2 linked regions of the Saccharomyces cerevisiae S288C genome follow. Changing the gene in region 1 together with any one later gene gives a genetic interaction. Each region holds a gene or a part of one and is shown in the gene's direction. Other genes may lie near its edges.

Evidence for each region. Genes that interact genetically often act in the same process or in processes that back each other up.
Region 2: mutations in TDA6 (region 1) and MRX20 together harm fitness more than expected from each alone (negative genetic interaction), as found in Saccharomyces cerevisiae (one large-scale study listed by BioGRID).

What each region holds. Positions count from the first base shown.
Region 1 is NC_001148.4:837,886-845,837, forward strand, and holds TDA6 (Tda6p), read left to right. Parts: upstream 1-3,380; coding exon 3,381-4,784; downstream 4,785-7,952. Other genes in the region: TPO3 (spermine transporter), read right to left, coding at 24-1,892; CUR1 (Cur1p), read left to right, coding at 5,377-6,135; YPR158W-A (gag protein), read left to right, coding at 6,824-7,952. UniProt on the Saccharomyces cerevisiae protein: Involved in vacuolar protein sorting.
Region 2 is NC_001138.5:240,350-245,763, forward strand, and holds MRX20 (Mrx20p), read left to right. Parts: upstream 1-1,648; coding exon 1,649-1,660; intron 1,661-1,732; coding exon 1,733-2,650; downstream 2,651-5,414. Other genes in the region: DUG1 (metallodipeptidase), read right to left, coding at 1-1,088; centromere-binding protein CNN1, read right to left, coding at 2,725-3,810; BNA6 (nicotinate-nucleotide diphosphorylase (carboxylating)), read right to left, coding at 3,930-4,817.

The sequences.
Region 1 (7,952 bases):
CTCGATTCGTAAAATCGTTACTCTTATTCAATACTATCTATGGAATAATCCTTCTTGGATAACTTATGTCTCAAACCTTTGCCCCAGTAAGAAAATGCAAAAGGTAAAGCAATCATAGCAGTGGAGATGAAAGCCAACAACCAAGAACCCCAGTGCAGATTCAATTTGTGGTACATTTGAATGGTAAACAAGGGGAAGGCAGCACCACCGGCGGATCTTAAGAAAACCTTTGTAGCCAGAGCACTGGATGCGTATTGGACGTAGCAATCAATAATGTAATTATTCAATGAATAATAAATCAACACCATACCGAAACCAAAAGCTAAACCAGCTGAAGCTGGACCAACCCAAATAATATGTTTATAAGCGGTAGCACCCAGGATCCATAAAGCAATTGCAGCAAATGGAGCACCGATCTTAGCACCTAGCAAACGATCTTCAGGAGTAGGTTTACGCTGTTTGACAATTTGTAAATACTTGTTTTCACAGTAGAAAGTTGTGGCTAACGCCCAAAGAGCACCGATAACAATAGGAATAAACATCAAACCCACAAGGTTGTCTTTGTAGCCATATAGTTCACCGAAAATGACAGGGAAGGCAAAGAAGAACGCATATAGTAGAGAGTAAATCAAACACACGTAGAAACAAGTAGCAACTAGAACAGGTTCAGTGACAGAGAAGTACAAAGGTCTCAACAGACAAGCCCTCATCATTTCACCCATACTGACACCTTGCGCTTCCTGCTCAGTCATAATCTTGGGATTACCAGTTTCCTTTCTTAATCTAGCAGCCTTTCTCTTCAAGATAACTGGAGCGTACGTTTCTGGGATGGCAGAAGATATGATCCACATAACACCTGCAAAGGCCATATTGACCCAGAAAATCAGGTCCATACGTCCGGTAGAAACGGAAATAAAACCGTTAACTAGTGGACCAACAACGGGACCAACGTAAGGAGCAAAAGCGAAGAAAGCAATAGCCTTACCTCTTGTTTCACTTGGGAACATATCGGCAATAGACCCACCAACTAAACACAAACCAGATGATGACCAAACACCACATAAAAATCTACAAGCTAAAAGACTACCTAGATTTGGAGCTAAGGCGCAAGGGATATTGAAGATGACATAAAGACCCATAGAAACAAAGTAAGCAACTCTTCTACCGTAAAGATCACTAACAGGAGACCAAATCAAAGGACCCAGCGAGAACCCAATAACCATTAAAGAAACCGATAAAATAGCGGCTTCCATACCTACATGGTATTTCTTTTCAACGGTTCCCAACCCACCACTGATACAAGCAGACCCGTAGGCGACACAAATAACTAAGATTGACAGTAGGACAGTGTAACTCCAACGGATCCATGCAGGCCAGTTATGGGGGTTTTCTGGATCGCCAGTCACAAAGGTAACGAATTCAATTTCCGGATCTAGATCTGGAGCTTCGTCATTCGCACCACTAGAGTCGCCTTCTTTACCCTTTTCGTTATTATCACTTTCTAAAGCATCTTCATTAGAAGAAGGCGAAGAAGCGCCATCGATCTGTCTAGTTCTCGTACGGGAAATCGCAGTAGAAGTTCTACCTATGGAATGTAGAGTGGCGACAGGAACTAAACCTGTAGGGGTTTCTAAAGTATATTCTTCAGGAAAAATCTTATTCTTGCTAGATTGAGGAGCATTAACATCAGGAACGGGGGCTTTGGAGCTCACACCCATGTCCTGCAATGACTTCACGGTTTCCGTCCGGGTCAACTTCAGTTGATTAGGAGCCATGTTGGATTTAGATCCACTCTCTGAAGGGATATATTGTTGCGGCTGCTGACTTTCTACATCAGACAACGAAGATGTTTCGTCTGAATTAAACGAATTTATGGATTCCTGTCTGTTCATTTCTGTTTATCTTTGGCTAGAGGAGTACTAATGCAAAATTAAAATAATGAAGTAAGAAGGGAGAAAGTAATTAGTTATATTAGAAAACTAGACCACGAAATTTGTAGTATAATTATGGGTATGACAATTAAAGAATTAGGGTGAACGCTACCGGTGAGGACAAAAAAGGCTGAACGAAGAAGAAAAATAAAAAGAAGATTAGATCAACGCACCTAGACGAAAAAGAGCAAATACTGCTTATTGTATTCACTTTGGAGAACAGGTTGTAACAGGACAGCTGACAATTGCTAAGTTAAGTAGATTACAAAGACAAATGTTCTTAGGCGAAAAGAATATATAAACTAAAAGAAAAAGTGGAAAAAGGGTACGTGTAAAAAGAGACTAGGATGGTTGAGCAGCGAATGATTGCAAGATATATAAAAGAAACGAGCCAGTTTTACAGCGTTTAACGCAGATCCAGAATATGAACAAAATGCATTAGGAAATAAATGAAAAAAATGGCTCTATGGATCAGGGATCATCATGGCTGCCGGAAACTACGCCGTTCTGTTTTGTTTTTGTTTTTCCTTTTTCCCGTTTGGGTGAAATCAGTGAGCTGTTCCGATCCGTTGGGCGAAGACATTGCCGCAGTGACGAAGCCCGGCTAGTCCGATTGGGCTCCAGTAAACCCCTCGCCAAGCACAGAGAAGCTAGTCAGAGGCCCGCTAGACTGTACTTACTGGTCTTTAGCACACGACGACCGTACTTTGCACGTGGCTGCAGACACATTTTGTATGGAGGGAATGCTTGATTATATAAAGAGCTCTGTTTTTATGTTACCCGTCCAACGTTCTCACCCGGCTCCGCGCTATTTTTTTTTTTTTTTTTTTTTTTTTTCAGACCCACACAAAATCCGCGTAGCCGAGATTGCTTATGTATGTTATCATATTGCCTGTTTGAGATATGCAGGATCAGCATAGCATGTCTCTAACCAAATTGTGGGTCAGTCAATTATGTTGCTCTTTTGGGTATACGCTTTCACCGGATTCTCGAGAAATCGTATAATGCATGCCCCAAAGCAGTGGCCGTTCTCGGAAAAATAAAAATAGTTTATATCTCAATTTAGTTATATGGCTATGACGGAAACGACAAAATCAAATTGAAACTTAGAAAAAATAAAAAACAGCGCATTATTAAGGTTTCATGACTCCGTATTCGCTGTCCTACGTGTAAATAGGAAGAAGAAAAAAGTGAAAAAGGAAGAACCCTTCTTTTGAAGGAAAGCATAACTCGTTACTCATACGACGGATGCGAGATATACTCTCTACGTAGTTGTACTAGCCGAATGAAAAAAGAGAAAGTTCCGAATATGTAAAATTGAAATTTCTCTTCTTTATAATAGAACTAACAATTGAACTTTCCTTTTCTTTTGAAGCTACCGTCAATGACAAAGAAGGCAGCTTTGATAAAGTACTCAATAGGTAAAGCAAACTTCAATTCAGTTAGCGAATGCATTGCGTACTAGCGCGAATATTGTTATGGTTCTTAATAGTAGATCTAAGCGTCATACGGGCGCTTGTCCTTCCACCATTGAAAGATTATGATCCGTTAGAGCCTTTGATGAAAAGAGACATGGCCATGGGTCAACGGAACAGATTCAAAGTCGACGGCCAATTGCCGCCCATACTAAATTCCACAGATGTGACAGATGATCAGAGAAGTCTGCATACGCCTGGAGAGATTCCATCTTATGTCATCAATCATTGTCCCTTAGTGCACTTGTATAGCGAAGAGAAATATTGGCCATCGGACATTGCTGAGTACGTTCAAAACTTCCAAATTAAAGATAAAAACGGCAATTCTATATCCACTCATGAAAATTTGACACTGCATGACTTGAAGGCGGAATACCACGTAGATTTATTTGGCAACAAAACGGAAACGCATATCCCCAGTAGCGAGGTATTTTTAACCAGTTTGGACGATTTCGACAAGGACCCTAAATGGTTGCTCGGTCATCTACCCGAATACGGAACAGGCTACAACTCTAAGGCGCCTGCTATTCTGATCGTAGTCGACAAGGGGAACGGGTGGGTTGATGCGTTCTGGTTTTTCTTCTACCCATTCAATCATGGCCCTTTTATTATGGGCCATGGACCCTGGGGCAATCACGTCGGTGACTGGGAACACTCTTTGGTTCGGTTTTATAAAGGTATTCCAAAATATCTTTGGATGAGTGCGCATTCCAGTGGAACAGGCTACAGATACGAAGCTGTTGAGAAATTTAAGAAACTACGGAAAAGAAAACAGCAAGATAGTGACGATGGTGGGGATACTATACTGGAAAGACCGTTGATTTTTAGTGCTAGAGGCACGCATGCTAATTATGCATCCGCTGGGCAGCATGCTCATGACATTCCTTTTTTTTTCATGCCTTTGAGTGATTTTACCGATCGTGGTCCCCTGTGGGATCCATCTTTGAACTTTTACTCCTATACTTTTGATGGTAAAACTGTGACACCCTCCTCAGAGAGAGAAGAATCTCTCGGTTTGGATTGGTTGCATTTTCAAGGTGGATGGGGTGATCAACAACTACCAGCTAGAGATCCAAGACAGAAATGGTGCGTAGCTCAATGGAAGTATATCGGAGGTCCTCGTGGCCCCCTGTTTAAGAAATTGGATAGATTGAATCTATGCGGCGGTGTGAAAAAGTGGAATTTCTGGAATGGTGGCTGCCCCGCAAGAAGATTGATAAAAAAAGCAGAAGGCTTGGACTCTGAGAGCACTGATCTTATGGGTGATAATTGTGGTGTCCTACTCTATAGAATCAGACCAAAATGGCTGAGAGGAATTCTAAGATTTCTAATGTGGAGAGGTATACTCTGTTCTCTTATGGAATTTTTCACCAATTGAAGAACTTTATGACAACAGAATGTTCTGATTGTAATATAATGACAAATTTTAATCTTTAGTAATATCTAATATAATAGTTAATGATAAATAGTTAATTCTAATGTTTAATGATCTGCAAATACTTTTTATGTTTTTCAACATAGTTTTTAATGTGTTTCTACACTTGATCGCAACTAAATCTAAATAAACACACAAGCACAAAATATGATAAAAAAGCAATTTGGCTAGAAGCACAGGAACCAAATATGACGTTCAATTCAAATAGACCCTTATTTCTGGTCTTGTTCATCAGTCCCTGATGTCTTGCTCTTTCCTTCTGCAATTGATAGCGCCACACTTCTCAAAAGCAGTGGAAAAAAAAATCATTTCCCAGAAGAACGCGAGAGAACTCCATAGAAAAAAGGGAACTTTCCTACTCAAAAGAGAAAGGGAAAAATAATTGCGATATATCTTATAGCCTTTTTTTTTTTCCAACTTTCTATTTTTGTAAAAATGAAAATTTCCTTCATAAGCTACAATAAGACTACTCCATCCCTTGTTTCCTCAACGCACCGAACTCGATAGGACTGGTCGTAAAACAGAAAACTGACTAATGGCTGCCGCATGCATTTGTCAACCTAATCTTCTTGAGATTAATGTATCTGATGGACCACTGGATATGATCCGCAAGAAAAGAAAAATACAACAGCCGCAACTACGTCCACCCCTTCGAGAGAATAAATGCCAACCACACTTTTCTGTACGAAAGGTAAACCAGTCTTACATAATTTCTCTCCATAAAGAAATCACATGCCAACTCATTGCAGAAATTGTCAAACAAAAGTTATCGAGGATTTGGGAAAAAGTATACATACCATCTTATGAACTGATATCAGACAAAGACGGTAATCAAATTTATGTGGAACAGAGTGTCGACGAAAATAGGCTAACTTCTGAGATTATGGAGAAACTGGACCCCAACAATATTGATATAGAGGCGATCGAAATATTATTCGACGACTATCACCTAGAATTATCACGCTTGACAAACGGTATTATTATATCTAGTGCCAATGATCACTTTTACAGGGAATTCTCCTTCAATAACATAATTGATGACAACTTTAAAATTTGTGGAACAAGCATGTCTGCAGACAGTTTTGATAAGATTTATGGCGTTATGTGGATTGAAGTACCTTTCAATGGCAATGGCTTACAGAATGATAGCGCCGTTAATAGGGTTTCAACATCTCACAATCAGATAGAAGAATTGAATGACATAGAGCAGGAGATAAGAGCTTTTAATATTAGTCGAAGTAATCAAGAAAGTATCATCAAAAAGGAAGTATCTAGAAGATTGAATGGGCGGTAAGAAATACGGGCTACGGAATTTACCGTGTGTCTTCAAATTGAGTGTCACCCTGTAAGGCTTTCTACTCTATCACAAAATATTACATATTCTAATTCTACAATTATAGATATCAAACTTGATAAATTTAGTAGCAAATATGAAGTATTATTATGCATTTCAAAAAATTCCATTGTCCCTTCTCTTGGGCGCTTGAATTCTAAAAAAAATTAGCGCATCGCTAATAGCGCGTTTGAACCCGTCTTAAGAATGTTCATACCAGTATCAACAAGGGGTATGTTCCTCAGCATTATCTGAAGGTACTCCTCTAAATTTTTAAGTAAGAAAAGGCGTATAGTCATATAATTGTTGGGAATCCACCACTGATAAAGGTTATAATATCAGGTAAAGAAATTGTTGGAATAAAAATCCACTATCGTCTATCAACTAATAGTTATATTATCAATATATTATCATATACGGTGTTAAGATGATGACATAAGTTATGAGAAGCTGTCATCGATGTTAGAGGAAGCTGAAACGCAAGGATTGATAATGTAATAGGATCAATGAATATAAACATATAAAACGGAATGAGGAATAATCGTAATATTAGTATGTAGAAATATAGATTCCATTTTGAGGATTCCTATATCCTCGAGGAGAACTTCTAGTATATTCTGTATACCTAATATTATAGCCTTTATCAACAATGGAATCCCAACAATTATCTAATTACCCACATATATCTCATGGTAGCGCCTGTGCTTCGGTTACTTCTAAGGAAGTCCACACAAATCAAGATCCGTTAGACGTTTCAGCTTCCAAAATTCAAGAATATGATAAGGCTTCCACTAAGGCTAACTCTCAACAGACAACAACACCTGCTTCATCAGCTGTTCCAGAGAACCCCCATCATGCCTCTCCTCAACCTGCTTCAGTACCACCTCCACAGAATGGGCCGTACCCACAGCAGTGCATGATGACCCAAAACCAAGCCAATCCATCTGGTTGGTCATTTTACGGACACCCATCTATGATTCCGTATACACCTTATCAAATGTCGCCTATGTACTTTCCACCTGGGCCACAATCACAGTTTCCGCAGTATCCATCATCAGTTGGAACGCCTCTGAGCACTCCATCACCTGAGTCAGGTAATACATTTACTGATTCATCCTCAGCGGACTCTGATATGACATCCACTAAAAAATATGTCAGACCACCACCAATGTTAACCTCACCTAATGACTTTCCAAATTGGGTTAAAACATACATCAAATTTTTACAAAACTCGAATCTCGGTGGTATTATTCCGACAGTAAACGGAAAACCCGTACGTCCGATCACTGATGATGAACTCACCTTCTTGTATAACACTTTTCAAATATTTGCTCCCTCTCAATTCCTACCTACCTGGGTCAAAGACATCCTATCCGTTGATTATACGGATATCATGAAAATTCTTTCCAAAAGTATTGAAAAAATGCAATCTGATACCCAAGAGGCAAACGACATTGTGACCCTGGCAAATTTGCAATATAATGGCAGTACACCTGCAGATGCATTTGAAACAAAAGTCACAAACATTATCGACAGACTGAACAATAATGGCATTCATATCAATAACAAGGTCGCATGTCAATTAATTATGAGAGGTCTATCTGGCGAATATAAATTTTTACGCTACACACGTCATCGACATCTAAATATGACAGTCGCTGAACTGTTCTTAGATATCCATGCTATTTATGAAGAACAACAGGGATCGAGAAACAGCAAACCTAATTACAGGAGAAATCCGAGTGATGAGAAGAATGATTCTCGCAGCTATACGAATA
Region 2 (5,414 bases), on another chromosome or scaffold:
TGGACCAAAGAGGTCAGTTTCTCAGAATCCATGTCGGGGACGGTTCTAATGGAAAACTTACCGAAGACCTTAGCTGGAATGACAGTCTTTGCACCTTGAGCGGAAAAGGCGCCTTCCACACCATGAATGGACAACGAAGGATACCTCCATCTGTGCATCAAGATGTCTTCCTTCTTGTCGTACAAACTTGTCTTAGAGCCAGTTGCAGCGTTCAATTCTTCGACGCTAAATTCGATATCCTTGTATAGAGCCTTCTCCTTTTCGGTTAGAGGAGCAACCATTTCGTCAATACCGTCAATCAGGATCTTACCCTTAGAATCCACAAGGGAACCGAGAACTTGCATTAAATCGATCATTGGTTCAGCAACAACACCACCAAAGATACCAGAGTGTAAATCTGCACTTGGACCCTCAATGATGGTTTGATAGTAGTTGCAACCTCTTAGACCATAAGTCAAAACAGGCTTCTTAGTGCCTAGCCAGTAATTATCGGAAATACAAACGGCATCTACACCTTTAAAGTAACCATTAGCTTCCTTTTTAATCAATTCATCCAATTTCAAAGAACCACTTTCCTCCATTCCTTCGAAACAAGTAACTAAGTTAACGGGGAATTCTTGTCCGGAGGCTTTGAAGGCGTCCACAACGTTAATCCAAGATAATAAGGGACCAGTGTCATCGGTGACACCCCTTCCTTTCATGATACCTTTAGCCTCATCAATGACAAGCTTGAATGGCTCAGTATCCCAACCATCTTCCAATTGAGCAGGTTGCACATCATAGTGACCGTAAACCAACACAGTCTTTTTTGAAGGGTCGCTGCCGAACCTAGACAGAATCACAGGAGGTAGAGACAGATTTGGCGTAGAAATTGGTGGAGGTTGAATGCCCAGATCCACCATTTTAATGTCATGGAACCCCGATTGTGATAATTGCTCGGAGATAAACTTGGCCTTATCGAAGACTTTGGACCTTAGTGATTCATCCGAAGAAACAGCGGGGATTTGAATAGCCTTAGTCAGTCTGCTGAAGAACTGAGGCTTTAAAGAATCAATCTTTTGGAAAACGGAAGTAAGTGAGTGAGACATGCTTGTGTACGATGCTCTGGAGCAACTGAACTAACAATGAAGGGAGATTCAATTGATAAGAACAACATGTTGCTATTATAGTCTCTCTTTTTTTTTTGACACATTTTCTTGTAGCCGTTTTGAATGACGAATATAAGGGATATTGCTAAAATATGCTGTGGCATTGGTCAACTTAAAAGAATACGAATACTTATTCTAAAAGATGTGCTCGAGTATTTAACCCACCGATTGGCGCACAAAATGTGTTGTGGAGTTATCAATCACTCGAGGGATTTAATCGACTTCTTGTTTAGTTCGCCTTCGCTAGTCATAATAAAATCGACTTATTAATCCAAAAATTTCAAACTTTCTTGTCAACATAACTTCTGGAAAGGGTGTCAGAGGTTTTTCCTTCTTGCGTCTGCTGATTTTATTAGGTTGTTTAATTTAAAGGGCTTTGAACAGAAGTGGGAACTTCTTCCGCCTTATTAAGCTATTTTTCAATCGAATATAATTGAAAAAGTAATTGCTCTCACAGGTAGTCGAATCGTAAAAAAAGGGCAGTAAGAACAGCACCCGACATGGCTAACCAGGTAAGTAGTAAACTGTTTCGTTCCAAGACGCTAATGCTATTTTATTAACGCTCTCTTTTTTCTCGTTTGCAGAACTCTGACCTTTACAAGCAAATCACTGCCGGCAGTGTAGCTGCTGTGTTTCAAACGACAATGACATACCCATTTGAGTACTTAAAGACTGGTTTACAATTGCAACCGAAGGGTACCGCTTTCGAAATCATTTTACCTCAGATTAAGTCGTACTTTGTTGGCTGCTCTGCCCTAAACGTGGCCGCATTTGGTAAGACTATTTTAAGGTTCGTTACGTTCGACAAGTTATGCCACTCCCTGAATAATAACATTGATAATAATGATAATTTTCAAAGACTGACTGGTTATAACCTTTTGATCGCTGGTACGTTGACAGGAATAGTAGAAAGTTTGTTTATTATCCCTTTTGAAAACATAAAAACCACCCTTATCCAATCGGCGATGATCGATCATAAAAAATTAGAGAAGAATCAACCTGTAGTTAACGCAAAGGCAACCTTTCACAAGGTGGCGACTAAATCTACTCCTGTGGCTCGTATCGAGAAACTACTTCCAGCGGTAAAACACATGTATCAAACAAGAGGCCCTGCTGCGTTCGTCCAGGGAACAACAGCCACCATATTTAGGCAGATAGCTAACACCTCTATTCAATTTACTGCATACACAGCATTTAAACGGTTGTTACAAGCAAGAAACGACAAGGCATCCTCAGTAATAACGGGGTTAGCCACATCTTTTACACTCGTGGCAATGACTCAGCCCATTGACGTCGTAAAAACAAGGATGATGAGTCAAAATGCCAAAACTGAATATAAAAATACCTTAAATTGCATGTATAGAATATTTGTTCAAGAAGGCATGGCCACATTCTGGAAGGGCTCCATCTTTAGGTTTATGAAAGTCGGTATTTCAGGAGGCTTAACGTTCACTGTTTATGAACAGGTTAGTTTGTTACTAGGCTTCTCTTCCAGGTCTTGATAATTTTGTGGATCTTTTACTCTTTTCTGTACATAAATTGCCACTATTTAATTATTTTCTCTACGGTATCTTTTTTAGAACAAATAACTTTCAATTCTTGATTGAAGTTCTAAGGGAAGCAATTCGTGCGCGAGCTCAAACATATCATCAACGTTATTGATAATACCCATATCGATAAACGAATCTACCAATTCCTGTTTTTGTAACGTGCCGATTTTTTGTTTCAAGAAATCCATTATATTTAAAGATTCCTCCTGTATAGTAGACCACGTTTGTTTCGGCAATATTATCCTATTCTCATTCAAAAATTGCCTTGTAAGATGTTTTAGATCCATTATTTGCAGCGGTTTTATAGAAGAACGTCTCACCGCAGGGACATTTAAACGGATAGGATCGTTGCCTATATCATCCAAATTTTCGTCACTGGTGTTTTCAAACGAATAATCTTCGTTTTCTGCTTCTTCTGTCTCCTCTTTATCGTCGCTTGGTAAATCTTCAGATAGTGGTTCTTCCTGTTGCGTTATGGAAATTGGTACCGGATCACGTACTGGCGGTTCATCTACCTGATCCATTCCAATGCTTGGCGACGTGCGCAAAACTTCCATAGAGATACTGTTAGCTTTATCTGGAGAGTGCACTGTCAATTCATCCTCGTGTCCTGTCGTGGGAACATCTTGTATTATTATCGGGTCAATCTTCCTACTTTTCAAGCCTTTGTCTCTTTCCTGCAATTTTGCAAATACTGTTTGCGATAAGGAAGTATAATCAGGTTGCGTTTCATTGCCAATGTTGTTATCTGTCAGTTTCTCACTTCTGCTCCGAAGAAGCTCATTCTCCTCTGGTTGGCTCTCTTCGTACGCTAATTCATCTATTAGATTCCGTGCTTGAGTTTTATTAGTAGTTGTATCGTTGCCTTGTGATTTGCGTGCTAACACTTGGCTTAAGTCTTGTAAAAAACTTCGTACTTCGTTCGGATCTTTATTGAGGATGTCATGAGACTTAGTAGAAGCAGATAAAAGTTTTCTATAACCTGGCGTATTTCTGATCAGTACCTCATCCTTGAGACGTTGTTCTTCAAGGGCTCTCTCCCGAAAGGGGGTTCTGATCTCTGAGACTTCTGTATTCTCGTTGTTACCGGCGGCCTTCCTGGGAGTGCTCATTATTCATTTCTTATTTCGTTACTAATCGTCGTGTGTGTCATTAATCGGTAACGCGTAGCTTCTTAATCTTATTTAGAATATGTAAATAAAAAAAAGTAAAAATCGAAGCCTAAGCATTTTCAATGAGCCAGTTTCAATGAGAAATCAATCACTGGTGTGCCTTGATGAATGCTACTAGTGCTGTAAATGTCAATGTCATCGCACAAATACTCCTCGAGGTTGTCCAAATTCAAGCCTCCACTACATTCCAAGAGGAAATGCTTTTTACCATTCCATTTGTTCTTAAGACTTTGGGCGCACATTTTCAAACCGTCACCTTTGAAATTATCCAACATGATAACGTCTGCACCAGCTTCAATGGCCTCTGTGGCTTCATCTTCACTCAAACACTCCACTTCGATCTTCACAGCAAACCCGCACACGGCCCTGGCGTTCTTAACTGCGTTTGTTATAGAACCAGTAGCCCAAATATGATTATCTTTGAGCATGACCATAGAGGAAAGGTCGTATCTGTGCGTGTCGCAGCCACCTACAAGCATGGAATACTTTTCTAATCTACGTAAACCTGGTGTAGTCTTTCTTGTCCCCGCAATGGTCCCCTTGTAACCAGTCGAACGCGCCAAACTGATTATCTTATGTGAGGCGGTGGCAATTCCACTACTTCTACTAAGGATGTTCAAGGCGGTTCTTTCAGCTAATAGAATGTTTTTAGCGGGCCCAGTAATTTTAGCTACAACAATCTTACCAGAGTCATTCTTCGAAGGCTCCAAGAAGGAGCCTTCCTTAAACAACCACTCAACTTGCAATTCGCACTGATTAAAGACTTCTTGCGCAAAGGGGACACCACACAGCATACCATCCTGCTTACAGTACAAATTGGCCTCCTTTAGGTCGGAACCAACAACATATCCACCAAAATCAAAAGAAGGAACGTCCTCGCTCAGCCAATTGGTGACGTCTTGTCTCCATGCTCCATTAACGGGCAATAAGTGTTCATAAACAGGCATTTTTTTTTTTTGGTGTGTGTTCTTTCTGAGGATTGCGTTCTTTTTGTTGCGTTATTAAGTGGTGTCTTTAATTTTCGAATTTATGGCCCAAGATATACGAAAACTGCGGTAGGAGTCATGATAAATGGGGGCTCTTCAACCAACCGGCGTCACCAAAAGCAAAAATATCCTGGAGCGAAATATCACATTGTTTGTAACCAAGCTTGTACCTTTGACAAGTTAACTTACGTCTTGCCGGGGTTTGCTACTACGCATTCAAGTATATAAAACGTTGTGACACACAAGTTGATAGAAACCTCAGGATGTATAACTACAATTCTAGTTTCCATCTCATTAGTCCCAAATGACAATAAAAAAAATTACTGGCCATGGAAGATGACAAGCCGAATATTAGCTCCTTCGATCGAACTGTGCGTGGAGAAGAAGCTACTACTATTTAATAATTAGTATCCCGTGATTTTGAGCTGTCGCTGGCATTATGTACCTGACATTAGGTATTTAGGAAAGGTAGGGTAGATCAGTTTAGTACCTCAATGGGTGCGGAAGGTTAATCTTGAAAAATTTGCGATTAGTAGACAAGTTTATTCTCACAAGAAC